Daphnia pulex: one gene and its partners. The protein of the gene in region 1 purifies or fractionates together with the protein of each later gene. This does not show direct contact. Links are inferred from orthologs where the notes say so. Each region holds a gene or a part of one and is shown on either strand. Other genes may lie near its edges.

Region 1 (4,275 bases):
GGAGGTCACAACATTGTCGAATCGTAATGTTCCATATTTAGGCTAATGGATTTCAAAAGAAACAATTAACAATCTATGTAATTCAAATATTTGTCCAATTCAACAACTCGATCTTACCTTATTGACAGCGTCTCGAGTAACAGCGATTTTGTGGGTCGGAGAGCGAATTTCTGTGATGGCTGAAGCCATTTGCACAGTTGCGTTAAAATCCACTTGATAATTCGATTCCCTTAATTGAAAAGGAAAAACAAAATTGAGTTGATTTTATCTATAATGTTCACAGAGACGAAATAGTTACTAACGTTGAATATTTGATTGAAGCTAGATCGGCTGCAGTGCTGGATTTATCGGTTGGAGGAATGTAACGAGGAGCGATAGTAGTGGGTAAGTAAAACCGAATTTCTTTACCCTCTACTTTTAATTCTGTGACGTAAGTCAAGCGGATTTTGGCTCCAGATCCAGGTGCCAAATTACCAACTTTAGCCTTTGAAAATTGTCATTGAAAGATCAGAAAAAAACAAAACAAATACCATTGCATGACAACTGTTAAGTTTACCTTGAATACATCCGGCAATTTTTCTTCAACTAAAAATGCCGAGTGTCCGCTCTTAATTGCCTCGTCATAATCGGCTTTAGCTTGTTCCGTTTCCTTTACGACACCTTCGATTACACGCCCATCTACTTCGGCAGTGAACATAGAAACTCCAGCCCCTGTGATTCATGAAGCAGCAGTTAATTTCTATAACTAAATGTTAATATTACTTTAAACTGCAATACCTTCATCAAGAGGAAAGAGATAAACTGCTTCAATGGGTTGATTTTCCTTGTTGACATATCGTTGCTCAATGGTGACCTCGGCAACCAAATCGACGATACGAGCCTGAACCGAAACCCCGATCAAAGGAACCGGAATTGACTCACGTTCGGCACGTTCAATTATCAAACCACAACATATCATTTTGAAGCTTCAAAATGGTAGAACTCTGGAAAACAAGTAACAATTTCTTTACAATTCATTTGGTGTAGTCAAATATTAAAAAAAAACATTCGGAAATTATGTTGGTACTAAACTGAGTATATCAGGTTAACATCTACGTAATACGTGAACTCAGAACTTACTTACTTATACTAGAAGCAGCAACTGCAGACTGTAGCTGTACGGTTCTTTCTGTGAAATGTCACTAACTTCCAAACTAAGCACGTCACTTCTCTTATTAATGTATGGTGTCGCCCACGCCCCTCAGATGACGGTTTGAATCAGCACTAATAATAACATATGGCTGAATGGCTGAATGCGAAAATGGTTTTTCCACTGAAAAAGACTTGCAGACTTTTGGGCCGTATTGTTTTGTTTAGGAGTTCGTGAGTCATAATAACAAACATATAGCCACCTGCCGAACAAAACCTCAAAAAGTATGGTTTACTTAAAAAGTGTCAAATAACACCGCTAGGTGGTAGACATGTTCGACGCAATCGGACCGGCTCTTCAGTCTTCACGTTTTCGTGTAAACGTTCGTAACTGAACAACTAGTTTCGCGATTTTTTTCGTCCAATATGGATGATGAAAATGAAAGATTGGAAGAAGACTTTTATCAGTTCCTCAATTTACCAAGAGATGTAAGCCTTTCATTTTTTTAAGCATGTACGTTGATGTATTTAAGGACGCTTGTGAGGCGAAAAATCAAAACATGTGTTATCAGTGTGTTTTGCACATGACTTATTTTGTTTATCACAAGATTTAACATATTTTTTTAAATCATTAGGCTCCACAAGAAGAGATAACAAATGCTTACAGAAGGCTGAGTCGCATCTATCATCCAGATAAACATACAGATCCCCTCAGAAAGAAGGAAGCTGAAGTGTTATTCAACAAAACTAAAAGAGCATACGAGGTTCTGAGTGACCCCCACAAGCGAGCCATTTATGACAGCTTGGGAACCAAAGGGCTTGAAACTGAAGGATGGGAAATTGTACAAAGGACAAAAACTCCACAAGAAATTAGAGAGGAGTATGAGCTCCTTGCTCAGCAAAAAGAAGAGCGCCGGCTCCTCCAGAGGACCAATCCTCAAAGCTCCATTACCGTCAACATTGATGCCACTGAACTCTTCAGTTCTTATGAAGATGCATATGATGATGAATTTGGGTAAGCTAAGAAGAACTTATTTATTATGTGCTCCTTCACTGAACCATATGTTACATTTACAGACCTCCTGGTGATTTTTTTCCATCTATTGTGGTCAAAGGCATGAACTTTTCTCAGTCTATTCAAGCACCTCTCACCTTAACTGACACAGCTTACTTGTCTGGTAATCTATCATAATTTTTGACATGGATAATGGGGTTTTAATTAGTGTTTATTGGCCATAGGTGAGCTTTCAACACACAAGGGTTCAGGTTCTGGTTCAGTAAATGTGTCATTGAGAAGAATCACTTCTCCTGATGGATGGGCAGAAGTTGACTTAGGATTCGGTAACGGTCTTTCTTTTTCTGCCAAGGGATTCCGCAATCTGACTAAACGGATGTTTACAAATATTTCTGGAATCCTAACTACCACTGACGAAGGCTTGAGTTTTGGCTTTGTGTCAAGTAAGTTGTCATAACTTTAAAAAATTCTTATGCTCTTTTTGTAATGATTGTTATTGGAATTTAAGCATTGGCACATCAGCTAGATAAAAATACGGTCGGTTATCTAACTTACAAAAACTCACAGTCTAGCTCGATGAGCACAAGCATAGTAAAAGAGACTACAACATATAGGACACAAGTAAATTTTGTTCTTGGAATCCCGCACTCGTTTATTTCAATGTCCTACTGCCACAAACTTGAAAAGCATGAAGGGAGATTACGAGCAACTGTCAAGTCAGTATTTATTTTTGTGCATCATTTTTTCTATCAATGATTTAAAATTTATTTTTTTATGTACAGAGCCGGAACCTTTGGAGCTATGTTAGAATATGGTCTTCAGCGTAAAGTATCACAGCATAGTTCACTAGCAGTTTCAATGACAGTCGGAGTTCCGACTGGCGTAAGACTAAAGATAAAGTATTGATTTCACCCTTTTCGAATGTGTAGCGATAGCTTGTATACTTGATGTGTGTTCAATTTTCACTAGATTACTTCGAGGGAACCAAATTTACGCTTTTCCTATTCATTTGTGTCATGAAGTGCTACCAAGCCCAATATTTTATGGAACTGTTACACCAATGATTGCATGGATCATCGTCCGCCGCTTGGTCGTGGAACCTTACATGCAACAACAGAAAGTCAAAGATATAGAGAGACATCGAGCTATGCATCACGCCCAGTTAGTTGAACTTTTATGATTTTTCTTCTTTTCTTACAATAGTAACCAATTTCTTGCCTTATAGAATGCTAGCTCGTCGGAGAGAAGCCGAGATATCCATCGATTTAATGAAAGAAACATTTAGACGGAATGTCGAGGACGAAGAAAACAAGAAAGGTTTAATTATCACAAAATCGATTTACGGTCGGTGGTTAGATCTAAGCCACCGTGATCTCGGCGATGCCATCACCGACGTTACCATCCCGCTCCAATGCCTAGTCAGGGATTCTAAGCTTATACTTCAAGAGGCATCTAAGGTAAGAGTACTTCAAAATAGATTCCAGAAAAGAAAGTTTTTAAACAATGTTTTTGTCTCATCACAGTGCCAGCTTCCAGGTTTCTATGATCCATGCATGGGAGAAGACAAGTCCTTATATGTACAGTATTCCTTCCATGGAGTTCCACATGAAGTAACAATCCAAGACACAGACCCTCTGCGGATACCCAAGCAGTGTAATTCTAGTCAATCAAGTTATTTTACAAATTTACACGCAAATTAATTTCTGTCTGTTATGCAGCTCACAGGAAACAGCTCTGAAACGACAAGGCAATAGATAACATTTTAAAATGATGATGATGGACTATCAGTAGACATTACAAGTGTTGATTTAATCTTACAACTGTGTTGAGTCATCATTTCACACTTTAGTTTATTCAAGTATATTTCATGACTGTAAAATAGATTTCTCTAGTGTAAAATCATAACACAGAGAGTCCCAGTCAATTTCTTTAAGCATTTTAGGTTTATGCTTGACAGTGGAACCATTTAACCACATCGAATTGTAAGCTGGGGAGAACTGGAAAGGGATTTCATCATATAGCTTGTTAGATGAAATGTCCTGTTGATTGCTGGAGGCATTTGAATTGATAGCATATGGCAAAGGACCTGAAATAGAAACCCAAACTAGTGTAAGTCTTAATTTCTCATTTGA
Region 2 (3,518 bases), on another chromosome or scaffold:
GTGAAGAAATCAAACACAGGACAGAAGACACCTTTCTCTTTGTTCATTACAAGTTCAAATGTTCAAGCACTATTAAAAGTTTTGTAAACGTTTTTTCAAGACACCTATTTCGAGTTCTTGCTGCTGTGACTGCACGAGGCAATTTGAATATGAATAAATTATCGTTTCTCCCACTCCTCCCGAGTTTGGACGCAGGGTTGCCAATTTGAATTATTTTACCCCCAAATAGATAAATAAAATATCAAATGTCAAAATTGAAATATTTCAAACATTCAACACTAGAACACTATCACTCAAATTTTAACTAAAAAAAAATTTTTAAGTGCTGTTACACGTGGGCAAAAGCTTTGTAATTCCGCCGATTACTTCATGAGGGTTAAGGTTACACAAATAGTGTCCACCGATCAATTCAAAGTTCGAATCATTTCATTTTCCAACATCACACGATTTGGACGTCAATTTAAAATCGAATCCAAAAGTAAAATGGAGGGTTTTTCATTATCATACCAAAATCAAAATGAAAAATTATATTTTTTCCCCATCATGGACAGAGGGTGAGAGTTTTCGCACAGCCAACTCGACTAAGCACACAAGTACACAAAAAACGACCTATGAAATAGGGCACCTAAGGAAGAAAAAAAAAACTTTTGTTGTTTTTGAAAAGTAGTAAGACAATTGTTTGTCTGATGAGAGGTTTTGTAGTTTTTTGAAAGAAGTGGCGAGTGAAAATACGAGAGAGAAGGAGAATAGACAATAAGGAAAGACATTAGTATTACTTCTATAAAAGTGTATAAGAGTCTTACAAATCACGCATCACTGAATTCACCAGTAGAAAGAACGCTGCAAAAATGTAGCAGCTGAATTTATCCAATTACTTGCAACTTCTGAAATGCCGTGAGGTGCTAATGCTTTGTCGGAAGTCTCTGTGGGTACGTCGTGATCATCCTCTGGTAGGTAATCAGGAAGGGGCGTACTTGATTTCCTCTCTGATGACGATAAAACTTTGGGTTAGAAACTATACATCATTATGTATGCCATTACCAAAGTATATACCGTCTGTACCGTCGTCTTCGGAGTAAGCCTCTCCGATTGCTTTCAACGTCTCTTCTCCCAGTTCGTTCTTGCAAACTAGGAAAGCACGCATCGTTTGTGTCTTACGAACAGCTTGGCCAACAGATTCTATATTCAGATCTGGACGGGAGCGTAAGGTGACACGGGAGTTGGTGGCATCGAAAACGATGGAGATAACTCCCTGAACTTTAATGAGCTGTCGCTCTAAAAGTTCACGATCCTCCTATTGAAAACAAACAAAAGAATATTTATTGACTATGAAATGGGCATCATCCTAATTTGCGTACCTGGTTGGTAGTGAGACCTGTTACTTTTACAGTAATCGTTTTGGCTTTTGAATTGTATTTAAGAAAACGGTGACCTCTGTCACTATGAGAACTAGTATCTAGTGCACCAAACAAGCCTTCATCATCCACAGCTTCTTCAGTGGAAGGAATCCTTTCCACTTTTGGCTGAGCTGTGCTTTTGACCTTGTTTCCATAAGATGAGTTCTTTGAAAACTTGAGAGCTGTAAATATATCGGCAGCACTGTTGGCAATTTCTTCACCAAACTCTTCAGCACCATCAGCTGTCGCTTGAAGTGCTTCAAGCACACCAAACACAGCTGCCAACTTTTGACGGTGTCTTTGTGTGTCAGACAGCAATTTCAGCGTTTCTAGGGCTAGACTGACTACTTCTACATTCTTTTCGCCAAGAACATAAGCCAGGAATTGTATGCTAGTTTCATCCTAATAGAACAAGAATTAACATTTAGGAATTCAAATTACTGGACGACTTTGGCGAATACCTGGATTAGTGTTCCTCGTTTGCTGGGATCTTCAGCGATGTTACGATAAGCCTGAACCGTGACTAGAGCAGTACTACTTATGTCTTCCATTCTGCCGTCATTAAATCCTGAGGAATAAAAACAAAAATTTGTATTGAATTCAACATCAAGCAATAAAATTCTATATTCTATGCTTTTATTTTCCAAATCTCGAGAAAATGAATCAGCATTAACGAAACTAACCTCATGTTTGTTGATCATAACAAGGGGTCCTTTCTCAAAATGGATCCTGTACAGGCCGAGGTAACTAGCCGCTAGATGGCTCAGCTGTCCTCATTACGTGTAAAAATATACTGTTAAGCGGAACTGTTTTATCCCACTGTTACCATACCAGTTTCCAAAACAACAATCATCACGTCATGCATCACGAAATTTTGAGGTCAGTGACACATTTCTGAAGTAAAAAAAAAATGGTATTAAAATAATTGGTCGTTGACCTATAAAAATGTAAAAGCCGAGTGCGTAGTAGATGGTAAATGATTTATTGACATCACTGTAGACGACGCGGGAAAATGAATAACAAAATCTCACAAGACACTTTGAAATCGAACACGGGGCTGATTTGCAGATAAACATAAATCAAAATTTGTCGAGTAACGTGTAAAAAAGATGCTTAGATTTCGTTGAAGATGCAAATTTGTAGCTGAAAATGGAAAACAAATCAACAGAAGAAGAAGAAAGGAGCCCAGGTTTTTGAAATTTCTTGGTCCAGATCATTGCGCAGATTCGCGGAAGAAACTGCTTCACTTTTGGTAGGTATTGCTCGCACAATTCAAGTCATAGATATATCAAACACGCACACAAGAGACAATTCCATCATTGCATAAATCATCAAGATATTTTGATTGCAACAACGCACACTATTTTGAAAGATTCATCGTTATCACATTATGAAAATAGAATGATGTATACCATGCATATGTAAAACAAAAGAAAATAATAAATTGGGGTCATAGGGAAGACGAATAGTAGAACCAATAAAAGAATGATCACTGCATGCCGCCATCATCATCATCATCAAAATAATAATAATATTAATATACAGTAGAGAATGAGATTTTGTCTTATTATTATTTTCTTCTTGTTCCATTCTACTACAAACCGAGAGAGAGAATTTTCTTTCGTGCTTTCAGCGTGTCCTTGGCGGACGAGTCTTTGTGGCATTCCCTCATGCGCAAGCGAGTGGGAGTGGAGCGACCGGAGGCGGAACCCGACGATCCAGGAGGAGTGTGGTGGTGGTGATGATGAGCCATCGATTCGCCTCTGGGCCGCAGGATGAAATTCAAATCGCAACTGGTATTAATGGCGTAGTACACGTTGGCGTTCGAAGGCAGCACCATTTCTATGTTTTCGGGAATTAAATAAAATGGAATGAAATCATTTCCGATCCATCCATCCATCTGCATTAGAGTGACACGTAAAAAGAACCTACCTCCTTTGGGTAGGAGCTGAGCCAGTGTATAATCCTCGGGATTACCCTCGAGACCGTGTTTGACCATGGCGTTGCGGATGACCTGAGGACTCCGTTCGTGATTGCTGACCATGATGGACTTGTAGAGGTTGATGCCCTCCGTCTCTTTGGATGGGGTGGCGATGGAGACGCGAATGACGTAGAAATCTG
Region 3 (4,116 bases), on another chromosome or scaffold:
TCATGCTCTAAAAGAATTGAATATTAACACAATTACAGTTGTTGTATGAAAGGAAAAAACAAAAAAACAAAAATCAACCTGCAAATAAGAGAGCGCATAACGAAGGATCGATCCACCATTCTCATCAATCAGAGCTACACGTCGACAAACTCTTTCAACATTCAAGAAACGTTCCTGAAAAAAAAAGAGTAAAATTTAAACGTAAAAAATACTTCAACAAGAAAATATTTCAGGGCGTTACCTTCAGAGCACCTTGGGGAAGGATTCCTTGATCTAGAGCGGTTGGTGGGATGGATTCGATGACTGCCAGAGCAAATTCATCATTGTTGTTTAGTGCTTTGTTCAAACTACTCAGATTGAGAGGGTGGCGTTGCTCATTCCATGGCAAATGGACTGAATTGTTACTGCGCAGGGACTCGATCATCGATTGAGCTGCAATCCATAGCTCACGAACTTGACGAGAAACTCGGTCCTTTTCGGCGCGGTCATGGATCGCGTCTTGAATTCCTTTGCCCATTCCGTGAAGCTTCGCCAGGTTTTCATGATGGGACGCCAACAACTTTGCGACTTCTAGTTCACGTTCAGCATCAAATGTTCGCTTTAGTTCTAGACGTTGCGTCTTTAGAGTGTCATTTAAGTGATCAGTATAAGCAGCAGCTTGGAGTTTAAGCTGCTGAGTAAACTGATCCGACAAGGTTTTTTCATGAAACGAAATCTGTTAAAGAAATCGACACACACATTAATGGAATGATTTGTTTAAACAATAATGGGCGGTATAACTCACATCTTGATTATATTTCGCTTTTAGTTCGTAGTATTGTCTTTCCAATTCGACTCGTAAACGGGATTCCAGAACCGAATGGTCTTCTTTTCTCTGGGTATCTAAAGCTCCTTTCAGGCGCTGCTGCTCACAAGACTAGATATACAAATTTTAATTGCTGTAAATTTTTGTAAAAAAACAAAAAACAAAAAAAAAAAAACATTTAAACTAACCTGTTGCCTGGCTAGTTCTTTTTGCAACGTTATTATCTTCCAATAGGCATGGGCCATCAAAATATTGATTTCCTCTTCACCCAACTTGGAACCTTCGGTTTTAAAACTGGGTGCCAATTCAGGACGAATGGAAGATAACTCCATCTTGAATAATGCAAACCAAAGACGTTGAAGTTATAAATTTTTGATAAATATTCAATTTGTTACCTGCAAGTTGTGCCTAGCAGTATCAACAAGTTCACGATATTCATCCATAACTTTGGCTTCAGACTGAGCCGCTTCAACTCGTGCTTTTGCAGTTTCCAAACTAAATACCAAACATTATAGCCACTGGAGGTTTTGAAGCAACATTCACAAATACGTACCTATAGAGAGCACGGGCAACGCTTTCGTCAAAAGTAATTAGGTCAGGTGTTTGTATACTTTGGTCATTCTTTAAGCCATGAGCTACAGCTTCTTTCAGCTGAGCTACGGCCATTCTGGCATCATGAGCTCGAGACTCGGCAACATGCACAGCTTCATTTTTATCGTGTGTCGCCATGAAGACCGGCTCCCAAATATTTTCATGTGTTTGACCAGGCTCGTAAATCTTTTCTAGTGACTTGAAGACCAATTCAACATGCTCTACAAAAGATAAAATAATATAAAATAATTGTTAGTCTGATTATTTAGGAGACGGTTACTTTTGATGGAGCATGCAGCCATATCTTGGGCTGCAACAGCTTCTTTAACAGCGTCAGAAGCTTTGGCATGAAATTCCTTAAGCAAGTCCCCAAATTCGGCGGGAGTTAATTCTGATAAATTAACTGCAACTTTTTCGAGAACCTAAATTATAGGAAAAATAACTAAAGATTTTTGTTTTTTGAAGTTTTGATGTACAAATCTGAAAGTTTCTCACCTCTACAGCTGAACTATCAGGTTCAGATTCATTTACTACTTTAATATTTTCATCTGTTTTTACCTGAATGCAATTTGGAAGTCAAACATAAGGTATAAGCAAATAAAATAAAAAACAGTTTACTTCTGGGTCTAAATTTAAAGATTCTTCAACACTTGATTGATCATTGTCACAAAATTCTTCCACAGATTTTATGACATCGAAGTCTGGGGGTGGTAAATCGATTGAGGATATGGGTAGCTCTTGTGGGCTTGATTCTTCCACAGGATTGATGGGCAGCTCATCTAGGAGAGAAAAAAATTGCTCCAAATGTACAAGAAAATAATTCAAATGTTTATCTACCATCTTTTTTCTTGAGTGCTTCTCGTTCCAATTTTTTCTTTAAAAGTCCATCTTCCTTTACTCTGAAGCAAATAAGTTTAAATAAATAATCAATAAAAGTCTAGAAACAAAACTGATTATACTTGACAGGATGCTCAAGTTTTGGTAAATGGGAAACTGAAGGTCCCAGTAGTAAATTGAACAGAAATGAGGTTCCAGGAATATTTTTTTCAGAAAATTTCCTAAAACCATCACTTGTTTTGGCTAAGACAACAGAACCACCAACAGTTGCTAGAATAGCAGCTCCACCAATGGTTAAAATTTTGCTTCCAGATCTACAAATGAAATTATTACAGCATCTGGTATAAAAACAACTTACGAAAAAAATACACCGGTTACATTTGATTTGATTTTCGGCTGTTTATGTTCCGGCGGATAATTTGTCTTCCGTTTTGCAATGATACCTTCGACTGAGAACAAATTCTAACTGGTGCCTTCCACATTCCTGAAAAATGATCTAACTTTTCCTTGGATCTTCAAATGATGGAAGAAAATATTCCTGCCACTGTTGTAGTCTCGGAGTAATTAAGGGACAACAGACGACAAATATGACTCAAGTAGTAGTTCTTGTTAAACAGCATCCATCAGATAACGTGAACACATTTTGTGCCAAATCCCAAATTTTCTTGGAAAATGTTTCGAAAATTAACTCATTCCTTTTAATCCAGAGCTCGGCTAACATTAGAAAATAAATTCCTAATTTGTTTATTGTATAACTTGAAAGTGAAAGATTTTAGATTTAGAGCAAAATCAACCACCAGCATATGTTGTTCATGTAATTCGAAAGAATATTTTGCTATTTTCCAAAGATTTCAACATATTTGTTATTTAAATTTGTTCACAATTTGTATAATCAATATAGATGCCAGTCAGAATGATCTACATCTGATATGTAGGCCTATCACATTTAACCCTGCATTGGATGATCCAATTTGGATAATCTTGGATGTTTATGAATGTTTAATTCATAAAAGAAATTCAATTAGCTTTTTGACTTATAGTAAAAGTGAATTTAGAAGAAACCATGAAAAATGCAATTTTAATTCATGTAACAATATGTTGTTTTTATTTTTTTTATTTTTTCCCTTCTACCATTATAATGTGGTACCCAAATTTAGTTTTAACAGGTGGATCTGTGTAGACAGGATTACCCAATGATGAAATTGGTAGAGCAAAGGCAGCTTCTTGAAAAGGGCCAACCATAGATCCTCTAACCATCCATCCAAGGTCCCCCTATTTTAATATACAATAAAAAATGTAATAAGCAATTAGCATAATACTTGATTAACACATTGATTAACACTTACTCCTGATCTTGCTTTATCCTCACTGTATGTTGCAGCAACTTCATTGAATTTCATACCAGCTTTAAGCTTTTCAAGTGCTTCTAGAATTTTTGATTGCTTTTCACACAAAATGTGTCTAACCTATGCAAGAATAATATTTAAAAACATAATCTTATTTTATTGAAATATATCTTATTTTACCTTAATCGTACTCCCAGTTCCTCCTTTTTTGTCTTTACCCTTGTCATCATCTCCTCCTCCTCCTCCAGCACCTTTCGACTTTCCTAAATAGTCAATGAAACTTTATAAACGCTTATTTTCACAGTAGTAGAAACTTCTGAATTCTGACATATCCTTTTAGGTGTAAACAAATATTTAAAAAACACAACTATTTCACAAGGAAACTAATCAAACTATATGTACCAGCAGCTGCTGCTTTTTTAGGTGGCATAGCTATTATAATTCCCAATTCAAAATTCTAATCTTTTTATGAAAAAAAAAAATCAAAAGTCAAGAGTCAAGATTTTAGAACAATTACAAACGCGCTTTTCTGCGTTT

What was found.
Region 2: the proteins of dnaJ homolog subfamily C member 11-like (region 1) and armadillo repeat-containing protein 1-like purify together in Homo sapiens (affinity purification with mass spectrometry; 4 studies listed by BioGRID and IntAct, counting the BioPlex papers as one, with this or other methods). This does not show direct contact. The link is inferred for Daphnia pulex from reciprocal best matches to the Homo sapiens genes DNAJC11 and ARMC1.
Region 3: the proteins of dnaJ homolog subfamily C member 11-like (region 1) and MICOS complex subunit MIC60-like purify together in Homo sapiens (co-immunoprecipitation; 3 studies listed by BioGRID and IntAct, with this or other methods). This does not show direct contact. The link is inferred for Daphnia pulex from reciprocal best matches to the Homo sapiens genes DNAJC11 and IMMT.

The regions. Positions count from the first base shown.
Region 1 is NC_060019.1:1,093,552-1,097,826, reverse strand, and holds dnaJ homolog subfamily C member 11-like, read left to right. Parts: upstream 1-1,465; 5' UTR 1,466-1,554; coding exon 1,555-1,617; intron 1,618-1,763; coding exon 1,764-2,143; intron 2,144-2,205; coding exon 2,206-2,306; intron 2,307-2,367; coding exon 2,368-2,586; intron 2,587-2,651; coding exon 2,652-2,859; intron 2,860-2,925; coding exon 2,926-3,042; intron 3,043-3,112; coding exon 3,113-3,304; intron 3,305-3,368; coding exon 3,369-3,600; intron 3,601-3,666; coding exon 3,667-3,796; exon of another isoform or gene 3,797-3,861; coding exon 3,862-3,881; 3' UTR 3,882-3,960; downstream 3,961-4,275. Other genes in the region: von Willebrand factor A domain-containing protein 5A-like, read right to left, coding at 1-42, 118-229, 303-484, 557-711, 778-958; uncharacterized protein LOC124190903, read right to left, coding at 4,009-4,229.
Region 2 is NC_060021.1:11,826,101-11,829,618, reverse strand, and holds armadillo repeat-containing protein 1-like, read right to left. Parts: upstream 2,234-3,518; 5' UTR 2,081-2,233; intron 1,966-2,080; 5' UTR 1,949-1,965; coding exon 1,859-1,948; intron 1,800-1,858; coding exon 1,359-1,799; intron 1,295-1,358; coding exon 1,063-1,294; coding exon of another isoform or gene 1,054-1,062; intron 1,002-1,053; coding exon 823-1,001; 3' UTR 513-822; downstream 1-512. Other genes in the region: ral guanine nucleotide dissociation stimulator-like 1, read right to left, coding at 2,992-3,239, 3,330-3,518.
Region 3 is NC_060018.1:5,994,779-5,998,894, reverse strand, and holds the start of MICOS complex subunit MIC60-like, read right to left. Parts: upstream 2,844-4,116; 5' UTR 2,716-2,843; coding exon 2,612-2,715; intron 2,548-2,611; coding exon 2,356-2,547; intron 2,296-2,355; coding exon 2,234-2,295; intron 2,176-2,233; coding exon 2,015-2,175; intron 1,955-2,014; coding exon 1,892-1,954; intron 1,819-1,891; coding exon 1,677-1,818; intron 1,618-1,676; coding exon 1,359-1,617; intron 1,301-1,358; coding exon 1,201-1,300; intron 1,138-1,200; coding exon 994-1,137; intron 917-993; coding exon 785-916; intron 716-784; coding exon 242-715; intron 175-241; coding exon 79-174; intron 8-78; coding exon 1-7. Other genes in the region: peptidyl-prolyl cis-trans isomerase NIMA-interacting 4-like, read right to left, coding at 3,347-3,505, 3,580-3,699, 3,760-3,842, 3,982-4,009. UniProt on the Homo sapiens protein: Component of the MICOS complex, a large protein complex of the mitochondrial inner membrane that plays crucial roles in the maintenance of crista junctions, inner membrane architecture, and formation of contact sites to the outer membrane.